Linked DNA regions of Drosophila melanogaster. The main gene of each other region encodes a partner of the protein of the gene in region 2 in a complex. Each region holds a gene or a part of one and is shown on either strand. Other genes may lie near its edges.

The links.
Region 1: the proteins of mxt (region 2) and eIF4E1 are in contact, whole or in part, in a crystal structure (PDB 5ABV), measured with the Drosophila melanogaster proteins. Residues at the interface, in NP_001260053.1 of Drosophila melanogaster: Val579, Ser580, Tyr581, Ile583, Leu586, Leu587, Tyr589, Ser590, Ser592, His594, Ser595, Trp596, Thr597, Leu598, Pro599, Asp601, Trp602, Lys604, Met605, Thr608, Ala609, Ser611, Ile612, Leu613, Arg614, Asn615, Leu618, Arg624, Phe625, Tyr630; in NP_001261626.1 of Drosophila melanogaster: Lys80, His81, Pro82, Leu83, Met84, Tyr91, Glu93, Asn105, Glu106, Ile107, Thr108, Ser109, Val113, Glu114, Trp117, Ser118, Leu119, Tyr120, Asn121, His122, Ile123, Lys124, Pro125, Lys130, Tyr135, Asn171, Leu174, Asp175, Leu178, Ile181.

The regions. Positions count from the first base shown.
Region 1 is NT_037436.4:9,398,896-9,404,353, forward strand, and holds eIF4E1 (eukaryotic translation initiation factor 4E1), read right to left. Parts: upstream 3,566-5,458; 5' UTR 3,409-3,565; coding exon of another isoform or gene 3,385-3,408; exon of another isoform or gene 3,022-3,384; intron 2,911-3,021; exon of another isoform or gene 2,762-2,910; intron 2,712-2,761; 5' UTR 2,202-2,711; coding exon 2,145-2,201; intron 2,059-2,144; coding exon 1,688-2,058; intron 1,624-1,687; coding exon 1,524-1,623; intron 1,290-1,523; coding exon 1,202-1,289; intron 1,139-1,201; coding exon 975-1,138; 3' UTR 723-974; downstream 1-722. UniProt on the Drosophila melanogaster protein: Recognizes and binds the 7-methylguanosine (m7G)-containing mRNA cap during an early step in the initiation of protein synthesis and facilitates ribosome binding by inducing the unwinding of the mRNAs secondary structures.
Region 2 is NT_033779.5:4,842,028-4,848,967, forward strand, and holds mxt (mextli), read right to left. Parts: upstream 5,269-6,940; 5' UTR 5,212-5,268; exon of another isoform or gene 5,137-5,211; intron 4,738-5,136; exon of another isoform or gene 4,689-4,737; intron 4,324-4,688; exon of another isoform or gene 4,252-4,323; intron 4,190-4,251; 5' UTR 4,017-4,189; coding exon 3,615-4,016; intron 3,549-3,614; coding exon 3,227-3,548; intron 3,132-3,226; coding exon 3,060-3,131; intron 2,746-3,059; coding exon 2,685-2,745; intron 2,620-2,684; coding exon 2,142-2,619; intron 2,085-2,141; coding exon 1,691-2,084; intron 1,632-1,690; coding exon 1,033-1,631; 3' UTR 557-1,032; downstream 1-556. Other genes in the region: CG11927 (uncharacterized protein), read left to right, coding at 5,828-6,940. UniProt on the Drosophila melanogaster protein: Plays a role in promoting translation.

The DNA.
Region 1 (5,458 bases), on a different chromosome or scaffold from region 2:
ACCGAATCTATTGCACTGTTATTCTCCTTTCATTTCGTTTCATTTTTCCCTTTCAACGCCAACGAACTTCTGGCCGTGTGTGTGTTTGTTTGTGTTGGTTAGCTGGTCTATTATTATATCTTTATTCCGCGACAAACTTTAGTGCGTTTGCTTGTTAATTTGTTGTTACTGGCCCGGTACGAGCTGTTCGTTCCACTACTCTACGCTAAATGGCTATGCTTGTTAGAATTGCACATATATTTTATGTATTTTATTTAGCTAAACACGGAGACATATCCTTACACGATATCTACGAGCGACGCGACCAGTGTGACTGCGCCTACACAATTGAAACATGTCACATGCAGTGTGACCGTTCTTGGCTGAATGGAAAAGCTCTCACTCATATAAAATTCAATAATAGGTTAATAAAAAAAAAATACTGACTTATTTTTTAAATACAAACGTATTTACTCTAACAATATAAGTAAAAAGCTAAAATTATTTTAATGTCTATTTAGGAAACCTATCGATATATCGATACACATTTTTTTTTGGCCACCCTAGAAATTGCTAACGTATTTTTAGCAACAAATTGAATTCCAAATTTGGAAGTTTTGCTTTAGGTGCCCATATTAGGATACAAGCTCGTTTTAGTAATACAACAAGTAATTATCCCAAAAACAATATAGGTTAACTTTTTTCTATTTTAAAATATCTCCAAAATCAAAGATCAAAAGTATCCGGTTTTAATGTAGGTTTTTATTAATATACTTTTCCGTCTAATCCATTATTGACAGTGACTACAAAAAGCGGATAGATTTTATATTATGCCGATTTTTGATAACAAAGGGGGTTCCGTTTCGGTTTCGTTACGCGGGTCTTAGACAATAGTCACGATTAATCGCTACTGTTGCTTATAACGATAAATAAATGAAAGACAAAATAATCAGTGTGGGATCGGACCGAATAAGGAGCGGCCAGTTATTAGCCGCCTACAAAGTGTAGATCGATTTCACGTTGGAGCCCTGCTTGACCATCGTGTCCTTGTGCAACTGATACTGCAGCGAGTTGTTGCGTCCCAGACGCAGGGCATCGCGCAGCTTGTGACCAATCTCAAGGGCAGCTTCCTCGTTGTTTCCGTCGGCAGTCCAGATGGCTGGAAAGCATTAATCGTTAAACAAAGGAATTCCGCTGAAGTTGGGTGTGCGTGAAAACTTACATATCTTGTTGCTCTTGCCGCGAATGTTTATAACAGCGCCGCAGATCTGATCAGAGTGATCGAAGGCCTCACCAATCAGGCAGAGCAGCTGGAAGGCAAAACAGTTGTAGTTACTCATATGCGAAAAATATTTATGATATAAGCTCACTATTGAATGTTCCTAAGACAAAAGCTAGCACTAGCGTATTTTTAGCTGATATTTTCTATAAGTTATAATTTATATTGCAAAATCATACACCTATTTCTATATTTTTGCATTTCAAGAATGTACATTCACTATAAATAGACCATCCGCTCACCACTCGTTTCTTTGTGCACTTACCACATCGAGCCATAGGTTATCCAGATCGGTCTTGGAGCTTTTGTTAAGGGTAATGACCCAACGACCGCCCTGTTTGTTGGCTGCATCCTCCCACATGGGACTGCAAATGAGATATCAGTTAGTAAAGGTTATCTTGGCAGAATTGCAATAAACAGCAAACCCACCGAATGTTCTTCTTGAATAGCGAGTAGTCACTACCCAGCTTGATCTCTGATGGGGGCTTGATGTGGTTGTATAGGCTCCAGAAGTCCTCGACGGTATCGAAGCTGGTGATCTCGTTTTGCATGTCCTCCCAGGACTTGGACCGATCGTTTTCAAGGTACCACAGCGTCCAGACATTCATGAGCGGGTGTTTGTATAAATGCTCGGTGCGCACAGCATCGTCGCCGGCAGGAGCAGTAGTGGTTGCAGTGTTGCCTGCTGGTTCACCAGTCTCCTGTGGGTCCTCCTTGGGCTTGACATCCTTAGCCTCGGCGGGCGCTGCAGCCGAAGTTGGTGGTTCCGGACGACCCTGCTCGGTGCTGGGGGCGCTGGTCTGCGGGAGAAGATGGCAATGGATGGGAAGGGGAATCAGAAGATTAGATTAGCTTGGCTTAGCGACAGGCGCACTGAGAGTATTACTTTGAACATGGACTTGGGATTGGCAAAGTTCTTCATTCTGTGAAAGTCGCTCTGCATGTTGGCGGCCGTGTTTATTGGATGCGTTTGATGGTAGGATCAGTTCTTTTTCGGCTCCGGAGTGGGTTCGGATCGGTTTCGATTCGCCGTGATTCACTTGCCGCTCTCTCTCTGTCGCGGTGTTTGTGATAGTTGATAGTTGGTTGGTGCGTGTGTGTGCGAGAGAGCGAAGCTTTTGATTTCTGTTTGAGTGTGTGTGGATTTTGGATTGTTTCGTGATATCTCGCTCCCCTGCAGTTCGCTCTTCACTTGTGTATTATTAACCAAAAAACTAAGTAATGATAATACAAAAAACTCGTTAAACTTGTTGTTGCTGTATGGTTGAGTGGGTGTTGTAACTAATTATTGAGTATATGGTGTTGGAGTATCCTGTTTCACTTAAAATCGGACTAGGCTACTACTAAAATAGGCGAACTAATGCTGTTCCTAACGAACTCGGAATCGAAAGGGGCGATGGAATTACAGCACACACACACACGCGCACGTATCTGACATAAAAACACAGATTGCCTGTTGAAAGAATTGGAATTGTTGTTTTATATTTGAGTTAAAAGAGTTACTTGATTTTATTTTATGTTGCGGCTAAAATTCGTGTTCGAGTTCAAAGCAGCGGCGCGATTAACTGAAAAAAATTAACGTCAAAGAAAGGAGGTGGAAAGTGAAGAGGGAAAGCCAACGGTTTATTTACTGCAATGGCCGACAAAAATATGATTTAACTGTTCGCGACTGGTTAATTGCAGTAATTCACTCTTTTTCCATTCTTTCCATATTTGTCTCTCCGCTCTCCTATTTATGTATATGTAGCTAAAGAAGAACACACCCACACACACGCGCGCGATGTCTTGACAAGAGAGAGAGAGCGAGAACACTGAAAACGTGTGGTATGCGTATGCAAATGCGAAAGGAGAGAAAAAGAGAACGAGTGACCGCGAAAGAGAGATAGCTTGATAGAGACAGACAGAGATAGCGATAGCTATGACGTAGACAATAGCGTGCAAGTACAATTAATATTAAGCAATTGTGCAAAAAATAATCGGTGAACACAATGATGATGTAGCCACGCCAACTGCACACTTTTCCGCTCGACTATCGCCTCCCCTCTTGTGCAACAACCCTGTTTTTGTTGTTCCTGCCACGGCTCAGCCGAAATCGAAACCATGCGGCTCGCCGTTTCTCGCCTTACCTTCTCCGTCTCCAACACTACCATGATTTCGATGTATCGAAATGTATACTAGATATCGGTTACGCACTCAAGCTGCGTAGGTTACTGGGCTTAATTATTATTCGAATTATTTAATTCTTTAATTAAGTTTGGGATTTTGGTGGCCAGACAGTGTGGCCGTTGCCTAAAGGAAAGTTAGTGACGAGCGACCGAAGGCAGCTATCGATTGTTGAACAGGGCAACTCTGGAAATGCCTGTCACTGACTGATTGTTATAAAACCCAAGCAACCGTTACGTTTTTAAGGTTTCCATATATGTCATCTCTTCTATCTCTTTTCATGCGCGGAATTTACCATTTCACCATTAAAATACTAAAATTGTTAAATGTTTATCGGAGCTAAATATCATACTTTCTATTGTAATATTTGTATTTGAACCGAAATTCATTTTCTGTCATCCAGGTTTAAAATGAAACGATATTAAACAAGTTTATAACCAGTAAGTTACGCCTATTAGGAATCATTGAGGCCATAATAAGCCATTTTAAATAAACGCTTCTTATTGTCAAAAAACAAATAACTTGCTCCCATGGGAACTTTTTCAAGAACTGACCGAGCTTAACTTCCGCATAAAATGGCAAAGCAAATCTTAGAGCTTCAATCAAAGATATAAATGCAAACTTAATTGACATTTCATCTGATTCCCACAGCGCGATCGCCATCAACAACAACGTCATCGTCATTTATCATACACAATTTGTTGATGTTTTGAAGCCAGCAAAAAATAACAATATATTATAAATAATTATCAAAAATGTTTAATACGGACAAGCCCAGAAAACCTGATTTTTGGTTGAAAATTAGGTCTTCGTTTTTATTTAGACACTGGCATCATCAATTGGAATTTAATAACAAAATAACAAACATAAGAATGAATCAATGAGTTTTCCATATAATGCGACTCTATATTGTTTAAGTTTTCTTGAGAATTCCAGAAACTTTCGAGAATATCCAAAAATAAAATAACAAAGTAACGATATTACTTTAGTTAGAACTTGGACGTCATTGGTTAAATTTTGCCACAAAACTAAGTCTAACCTGTTGGTGAATCATGACTAACCCAGAACCTTAGTTGTTACCAAAGCTGCTTCGTATTTGAATCCAACCAAAATTCTTTCCACACATTATTGGCTCGCCTTTGTCTGCTTTAAAAATAGCCAAAAGATCCCAAAACAACATGGGAATATTTATGAGGGATGGATAATATTACCGCTGATGATGTGGCGCTTTTAGAAACGCTTGACTTTCAAAATAGACTGTTGCAGTTGAGACGCAATCCGAAAATTGAAGATGCTTACGAACTTAGCCTGAGAAACGTGAAGCGTGTTTATTATTTAAATAGTTAAGTCATTTTGTAACCGATCAACTGCGCAGTTGCCCTTGTAAATGCCTAATAAGCGGCTTTCAAGAGCTCGGCACGATCGTTGGATCGATGATCCGAAAACCCAAGATCCCTTCCCGAAACCCAAGATCCGTGGTCTCTAATTACACTTGAGCCGGTCTTATTGAACTGACACTTGATCGCCTGTCCAAGTGTTGATGTGATTACCCATCGCATCCTCTATTCCAATCGCATCGCATCTAATTATGCAGCAGTCAATTGCGGACTTCAAGTGCTTGGCGCATGTCTAAACAAAAAAACTTCCGCCGATCTACAGGAAACCCGGAGTCAAAGTTAAACCTTAGGCAGTATACTTTGCATTAATTGGAAGTAAAAAGTAATTGAAGCGCTCAAAGATGCTTAATTGTAAATAAATCATAGTCAAGTGGTTAGGTTATAAAGTTCGATAAATAAGGTTTCGACTAATGGGTACCTTGTAACTTATACAGAACCTGTATAAAAAATTGTACTTTTTCGTACTATTTTCATAAATTATGCAACAAATAAAATTAAGAATTATGAAGAAAAATGGGTATCTAAATGCTAGTTATACCATCAAGATAAGATGATCGAAACCAGATTTCAGACACCCAGTCGCCGAATATGCTTACTGAACCAATGAATTCCGATTGGTCAAAAAAGTATCTTTAAGATA
Region 2 (6,940 bases):
TATTTCGTTGGTAATTTCTAGGGTTAGTTTGCATATTTTTCAATATTCTTTTTTTTTTGTTTGTTTTGTTTTGGTCGTTTTGAGTTTGCGATTGTTAGATGTGGCCATGGCCAAAAGCATTGAAGCATACTGCAGCTCCGTCTGGGAGCAGGCACTTCACCCCGGGACACTCTATATTGTCAGTTCGAGCCGCTCGATTGATGGCTTTATTCGTCCAGAGTCTCGACCTCATCGGCAGCCACAATGTCTCGCTTGGCGGCCGTCTTAATGCTGGCCAGATACTTATCACCATCGAAGCGCTGGCTCTCATCCTGCAGATCCTGTTGTCGAACAAAGAAATGGTTTAATATCTGATTTCAAAGTAACATTGACACGCAAGCTATCCAGGGATGAACGAACATATATACATACGGAACAGTTTAGTAACTAAGTTAGCCATCTGGAGTGGTGGTTAGGTGGTGATGTTATGATGCTTCGGTGGTAAAACACAAGTTACAATTTATAATTTACAATGTGTGGGGTGTGTGGTGGTGTAAGTTAAACCCAGCCAAGCTTTGTTACGGACTTTGAAAGTCCTGTTTATTAGTTAATATAAATCGTATTGATTACAGATTTGTAAATGTTGGTTTGAATTCGAGAATGTTTGTTTGTTAGCGGTTAAGCGGTTTCAACCGCCTTTCCAGCTTATCCTTAGCGACGACTTAATCTGTTTCACAGCCAAAACACAGATTCTCCCTATAGTTACATTTTAATTTCAATGCATTATATGTATTGTTACCTCTAAGACTAGCGATCGGTTTGGTTTCGATGGTATGTCGTTAATCTAATGACTGGATGATGATAATGATAATGATGTATTGACTTGATTCATTATCAAGTTCTTCACGCTTCACCTTTTCTTAATGATAAGTTATATAAAATTAAAACAGCAAAAATACTGACATGAAAAGAAAAGCCTATCTGTGACTGAGATTCAATAATACGTATTCCGGCTACGTAAAATTAAATTAAATTAAATGAAATTAAATGAAATTACACATAAACGCGGTTATTATTCGATTCTGTTTCGCACAGTGCCAATGAAAACTCATCGTCCTCGCAGTAGCGTTGAAAAATTGCCTTCACTTGTGATGTTTGATAGCTAGACTGGCGATGCTTTCCTTGTGTTGCCACCGATTGACCCACAGTATTAGTTATGATTTGCAATTGCTTGTTATACAGGTTTCGATCGGACACGGCCGATGTTTTGGGAAGGCGACGGTTCTCGCGTTCGGCGAAGATCCCTTTTGATTGCTTGTTAGTGACGGTTAGGGGATTGTTGTCTGCCGACGCATCGACAGCAGCTAGTCCAACGGCGGTGCTGATGATATTTGTGTTCGGGGAGGAGGTTATTGCATTTAAAGCCCACGGATGTGTTATTACTGATGAGTTAGGTGCACTGGCGATGATAGCATCGGGGATGTTCGAAGAGTAAGCCGTACGGCCAAGTGAGCCATCGAACGGCGAAATTACCTTGTTGCGCAGAATCGAGGGCGCTGTCTCCTGCATCTTTTGCCAGTCGGTGGGCAGGGTCCACGAGTGCGGACTCATGGAGTAGTAGAGCAAGTGTTCAATATCGTAAGAAACGCGAGCTGTAATTTAAGTTTAAGCATCAAAGACTTGGTTAAGCATAAAAGGATTGTAATCTTACATGCATTGCTTTTCAAGGAATTGGTGCCTGCCAAATCGTCCAAGTCACCCTTTTCCCGAGCGCCCTTGGTCTCCGGCGTGGACTCCTTGCGCGAAAAGTGGCTGCGACGCGATCTGGCCAGTCCATTCTGATTGCTAGTCGATGATCCTCCATTGCTGGGCTCAGCGAACACCTCGTCGTCGCCTTCACCATTGTTGTTCGCTGACGAGGAAACAACGCAATTCAGTCCAATGCCACTGTCCGTGCCGGGCAGCCAAAATTGCGGCGGCCCGGCTCCGGGAAGCGGAGTCGATGGCGTGGTCACCAGCGAAGTGCCGTCGAAGGCGGCGCCAGCCTCAATGGATGCCAGAAACTCCGAGCTGCTAAAATAGTCATCGAGCACGAGTTTGGCCACCTTGAAATCGCAGGGGATTTAACAAATTTCACAATTGAAAACTTCAACATTACTCACGCGCACTAGTTCGCAGCAGTCGCCGGTGATCTTGATCAGGTGCTGGCCCACGTTGACCGTGAACTTGTATTCACCTACGGAAGCATCGTTTGTGGAATATGAGTGCATTAGCAGCTGTTGATTGGGACGCAAGACTTTACCGGCAGCGGCTGTCGCCTGAGCATGTGCCGCCGCTGCTGCTGCGGCGGCTACTGCGGCGACCTGCTGCTGCTGTTGGTGCTGCAGGTGATGCGTTTGGTGGTGCATCTGCTGCGAGATCTGCTGTGCAGCAGCTGTGGCGGTCATGAAGTTTTGGGCCGAGTTAAAGCTTAGCCGGTTGGCCAAACTGCTTCCGGTTGGCGTTCTTGGTTGCACAATGGCGTCGTCCGAGTTGGACGAGTTAAGCGAGGAGCAGGATCCTCCAACGGCAGGAGCGGGTTCCAGGCGCACCGGCGAGGCGTTCCGACGAATGGTGTCCTCCATAAGTTGTTTGGCATAGCTGTCGTAGAATTAAAACATTTTGACATAAAGGTAAATTAGCTTTAATTTATTTACTTTACTCACTTAATTTTATCCTCAGCTGGACCAGTAATCTGCACCAAACGCTCCTTGGCACCCGGGTTGACTAATGAAAACAAGGCATTCATAATTGTTCTCGAAAAAAGCATTTATATTTATGAAAAATAATTGGGATGCGAAAACATTTAAAAACAAAATGCATATATACAGTATGAAAATATGTGATTTCAAAATGCCTTTAACGATCAATTTTGGCTTAATGTGGTGTCGTTGAATGGACAAAATCTGGAACATGCGTATTTATAATTTCTATTAGTAAATTTTGTAGAAGCCACCGGGCATTAATTGATTTAAATAAGCGTGCCAAATGAAATGGGGGTGCGGTGAGGATCACAATTAAAACCAGCTCTCTGGAGTTACCTCTTTGAAACGATATAATGGTTTCGCTTAGCTCCTCGATCATGTGCACGCGACGCCCCTTGATGCCCATTACTTTTTGGCCACGGGAATGGAGGAATACATTATTGAAAACCATTTCTGTAGATCTGTGTGCTCCAGAACACTCCTCAGCTGATTGAAAAACTTACCTTTGCCGGAGTCAGCATTGCGAATCACGACCTCGTCCTTGCAGTACGTCTTGCCAGGAATCTTGGTCGGTTTGGGGAACTTGCCCGAATTACGAATGACCTCACCGGGCGGCAGCAGCATGTGCTGCTGGTTGGATGTGCCCACGGCCGCAATGGCCGCAGCTTGGGCGGCTGCAGCTGCAGATGCTGCATTGAAGACGGCGGCAGCGGCGGCTGCGGCTCCATCGTTAACGCCACCAACACCGCCGCTGACGCCGAATGTGGGGGAGGTGCTGAAGGCGCCAGGCTGCACGCCGGCATCGTACTGGTATTCCGAAGGCAGCTGCAAAGCAACGATACATATTTGATCGTTTTCCAAAGTGAGATCGATTCTATGTACTCTACTCACCTCCACGTTGGAGATCTGCTGCTTGGACTTGTAGTACGCGATTGTGTCGTCATTGTCCCAGCTCTTGGCGCGCAGCTCGATGAGTTCGAGCAGCTTGAGGCGCGTCGTTATATTCAGCCGTTCGTCCTGCGAAGCGTTGCGGAAAACGACGAAGGCCCGGTCCAGTGTATCCTTGGACACCGCCTCCAGTTGCGGTCCATGCACCCGGAGGTTGTGCAGGAGCAGCGTGATCGATTCCGGCGTGGTGTTGCACGACTGAAGACCGACGGTCACGTTGTCTATCAACTGGATTAGCTCCTCGATCACCAGGTAGCTGTTCTTCAACGACGATCGCGATTGTGTCTTCAACGGGCGTGGCGCCTCAATGTTTTTCACGGCGCGTCCCAGGTGTGTGTGAGCCATTCTCGGGATTCGTTGGATTCGATATCGTCTCGTGAAGAAGTCTTAAGGTTGTCCCGCCTGGTGTCCGGATCTGCTGATTTCAGTCTATATGGTCTGCTAACTTATTCGTTCGTTTAAATGTTGTTGAAGAATTGATCAAAAATGAATCGTAGAAGCTGTTTCCGCACCTCCCCCTGTAAACACAAGAAAGGTTAGTTATCGATCAAATGTATTGTTTACATTAAAACTATTGTACTATTTGGATACATGCTTTCAGCTGCTAGGATGATCAAAGCCGACTATATTGCATTAGAACTTGGGAGTAATGGCCGAGAGCATGGACAACCAAAAGGTTTCTTAGGATATGGAGATTGGCCTCGTTTCCGACCGAATCTCGAATATTGCGACGCAAAGCTCTCGTATATCTTAACGATGTGCACGTTTGATAAGCGGCTTTAGCTGATAACACCGCGATTTATCTATAGTTTAGTGGCCAAATTAACCCATTGGCGCCTTCTGAGCTTCTGGCTTCTGCTCAGTTAATCGGTGCGAAGTTCCAAAAGCAAAATATGTAAATAATTGATGAAAATTGTTGGCATATATCGAATGGGAACGACAAACGGACGACCATTTGTGTTATTTCAGTTCGACTTTCGCTCCATGCGAACAACTCATTTCTTTTTTAAATATCACTTACTGCCGCTGCAGCAACAGCAGCAGCAGCAACAACAACAAGAACAAACAAACATGGGCAACTAAAACACAGCTAACAGAAATATTACAAAAAACTGAAATTGTCCGTGGGAGGGAGAAAGAGAGAGGCGATCGCTCTATTGAATCATATGTCGAGAATAGCAACAACAAGAATGGCCTCTGCCGACGTCGACGATGGCAGCGCAGTTGACGACCGTGTTGGGCGTAGAACAAAAAGGAAGTTAACTTTCAGGAAACAGGGTCTATATATCCATATATTGCATCCGTTTTCGGCCAAAATTCTCTGTGAAATTGAGTAATATTTTAATGGCACTGGCCGCTTTTCGTTAAAATAAGCAAACTACGCGTTTTGCTGGCGACCGACTTTGCACTCTCGTTCTAGTTTCAACACTTTTGATGTTTAGTCTTCGTCGCGCTTATTATTTACTTTAATGGCCGATTGAAACGTCTCTTAAAACGGTGTATTTTGGATCGTAATTTCCAATAAATTACTAGAGCTTACCAAAACCAAAATCTCTGCGACTGCGACTAAAATCGTTTTTTACGGTGGGTGTTGCCACCTGATCGAACACGTTAGATTTTAGAGATGCGCCACAGCTATCCAGACCAGTTCACGTAAAGCGCAGTCAAAAAGCTCACATCAATTTCGCATCACAGATGTGTTCGTATTAAAATTTAAATTTAAATATGAAATAAATGTTACGAAATCAGACACTTATCGCTGATAACCAACAATTCACTATGGTATCTGGACGCTGGGCAATTACTATTCCCCGCCGGTTGTGTCTGCATGGGATCGAAAATGTTAAATATATATTATATTACGTTGGGCATTAATATATCGCTTACTAGTTAACAAATGAAGATTTACTGGTATAGCGGAAAGTTTAGAGAATACATTTGGAAACTACTGTTCTTTTTTAAGAACAACAGGACTCTTAAGAAAATACTTCAGGGGAAACTCCCTAAAATTTTAAGCACGAAAATATCGATAGAAAACATCGGCTGTTCCTTCAATTTGTTGTTATTGAAATTTTTGTTTGCCATCGCTAAGCAAAACTCAAATAAAATTAAGTTGATATATTTATAAAGTGTATTCCCACTCTCTAAGGTGCGAGATGTCTGAAAACGGGGACGTGGAGGCGGCACCAGAGGATTCCAAGGAAGTCGTTCCGGAGTCCGGCAAAGATGAGCCTGAAACTAAGCCGCTGAAAATGTCGTTTGCAGATTGGAAGAAATGCAAGGATGCACTGAAACCGGATACCAAAAGCGGACTACAACGGAGCAACAATAACAATAGTAACAACAACAACAATAACAACAACGGCAACGGACGTAAACATTGGTCTTCGAATAGCAACAATGCCTTTCATGGAGGCGGAGGTCCGCAAAGCTACCAGGACAGGAACTATCCTCCGATGAATCGACCGCCTCCACTTCCTATGCAGCTGATGAACATGGGCTTTGGAGGCAATTTTGGGCCTGGACCCGGACAATGCGGTCCCCCCATGGGGCCAATGGGACCAGGAGGACCTCGCGGTCCCATAAGCAATATGGGTCCCTGTGGTCCCATGAGCAGTATGGGCCCCGGTGGTCCAGTGGGCTTTGGAGGACCACGTGGTTCTGGGCCCCGCCGGAATCACAATCACCGACCTCTGCAGCCGCCTCCGTTCTGGGAGGACATGATGTCGCCACAACATAGACCACCACCAATCCAACCGCCCATGCCCAAGTGCCCCAGCTTGTGGAATCTGGTACCCAAGGAGCAGGGAGCACAAAACAATCGCAGCAATCCAAACCAGAATAACAAGAAATTCAAGGTAAACCATCGCGGCAACAGTGACAAAGATACGAGGCTTATGCCTCCGCCCCCACCGCCAAGCAATGGCAACAATTCGCCGTCAAACGGGGAAGCGCAGCCCTCCAAGAAGCCCAAGCGCTGCGGCACATTTGTCCAGGTCAATGGCCAATGGATACAGAAGCCAGAGGCACCACCGCCGCTCGAGGATGCACCGCCTGGTACGAAGGAGGAGCGCCAGCGCCAGTGGAAGGAGTACCGTATGGCCATGAAGCCCTTTAAAAACCGTGAGTTCCACAACTGGAAGCGAACGGTGCAGCGTTTGGGGAAGCTGCCGCGCGACCAGCTGGACGAGCAGCAACTGGAACGACTACAGAAGGCCGAGGAGTATATAGTTGCGCACAAGGCGATGCTGACGGTGAAGCATGCAGAG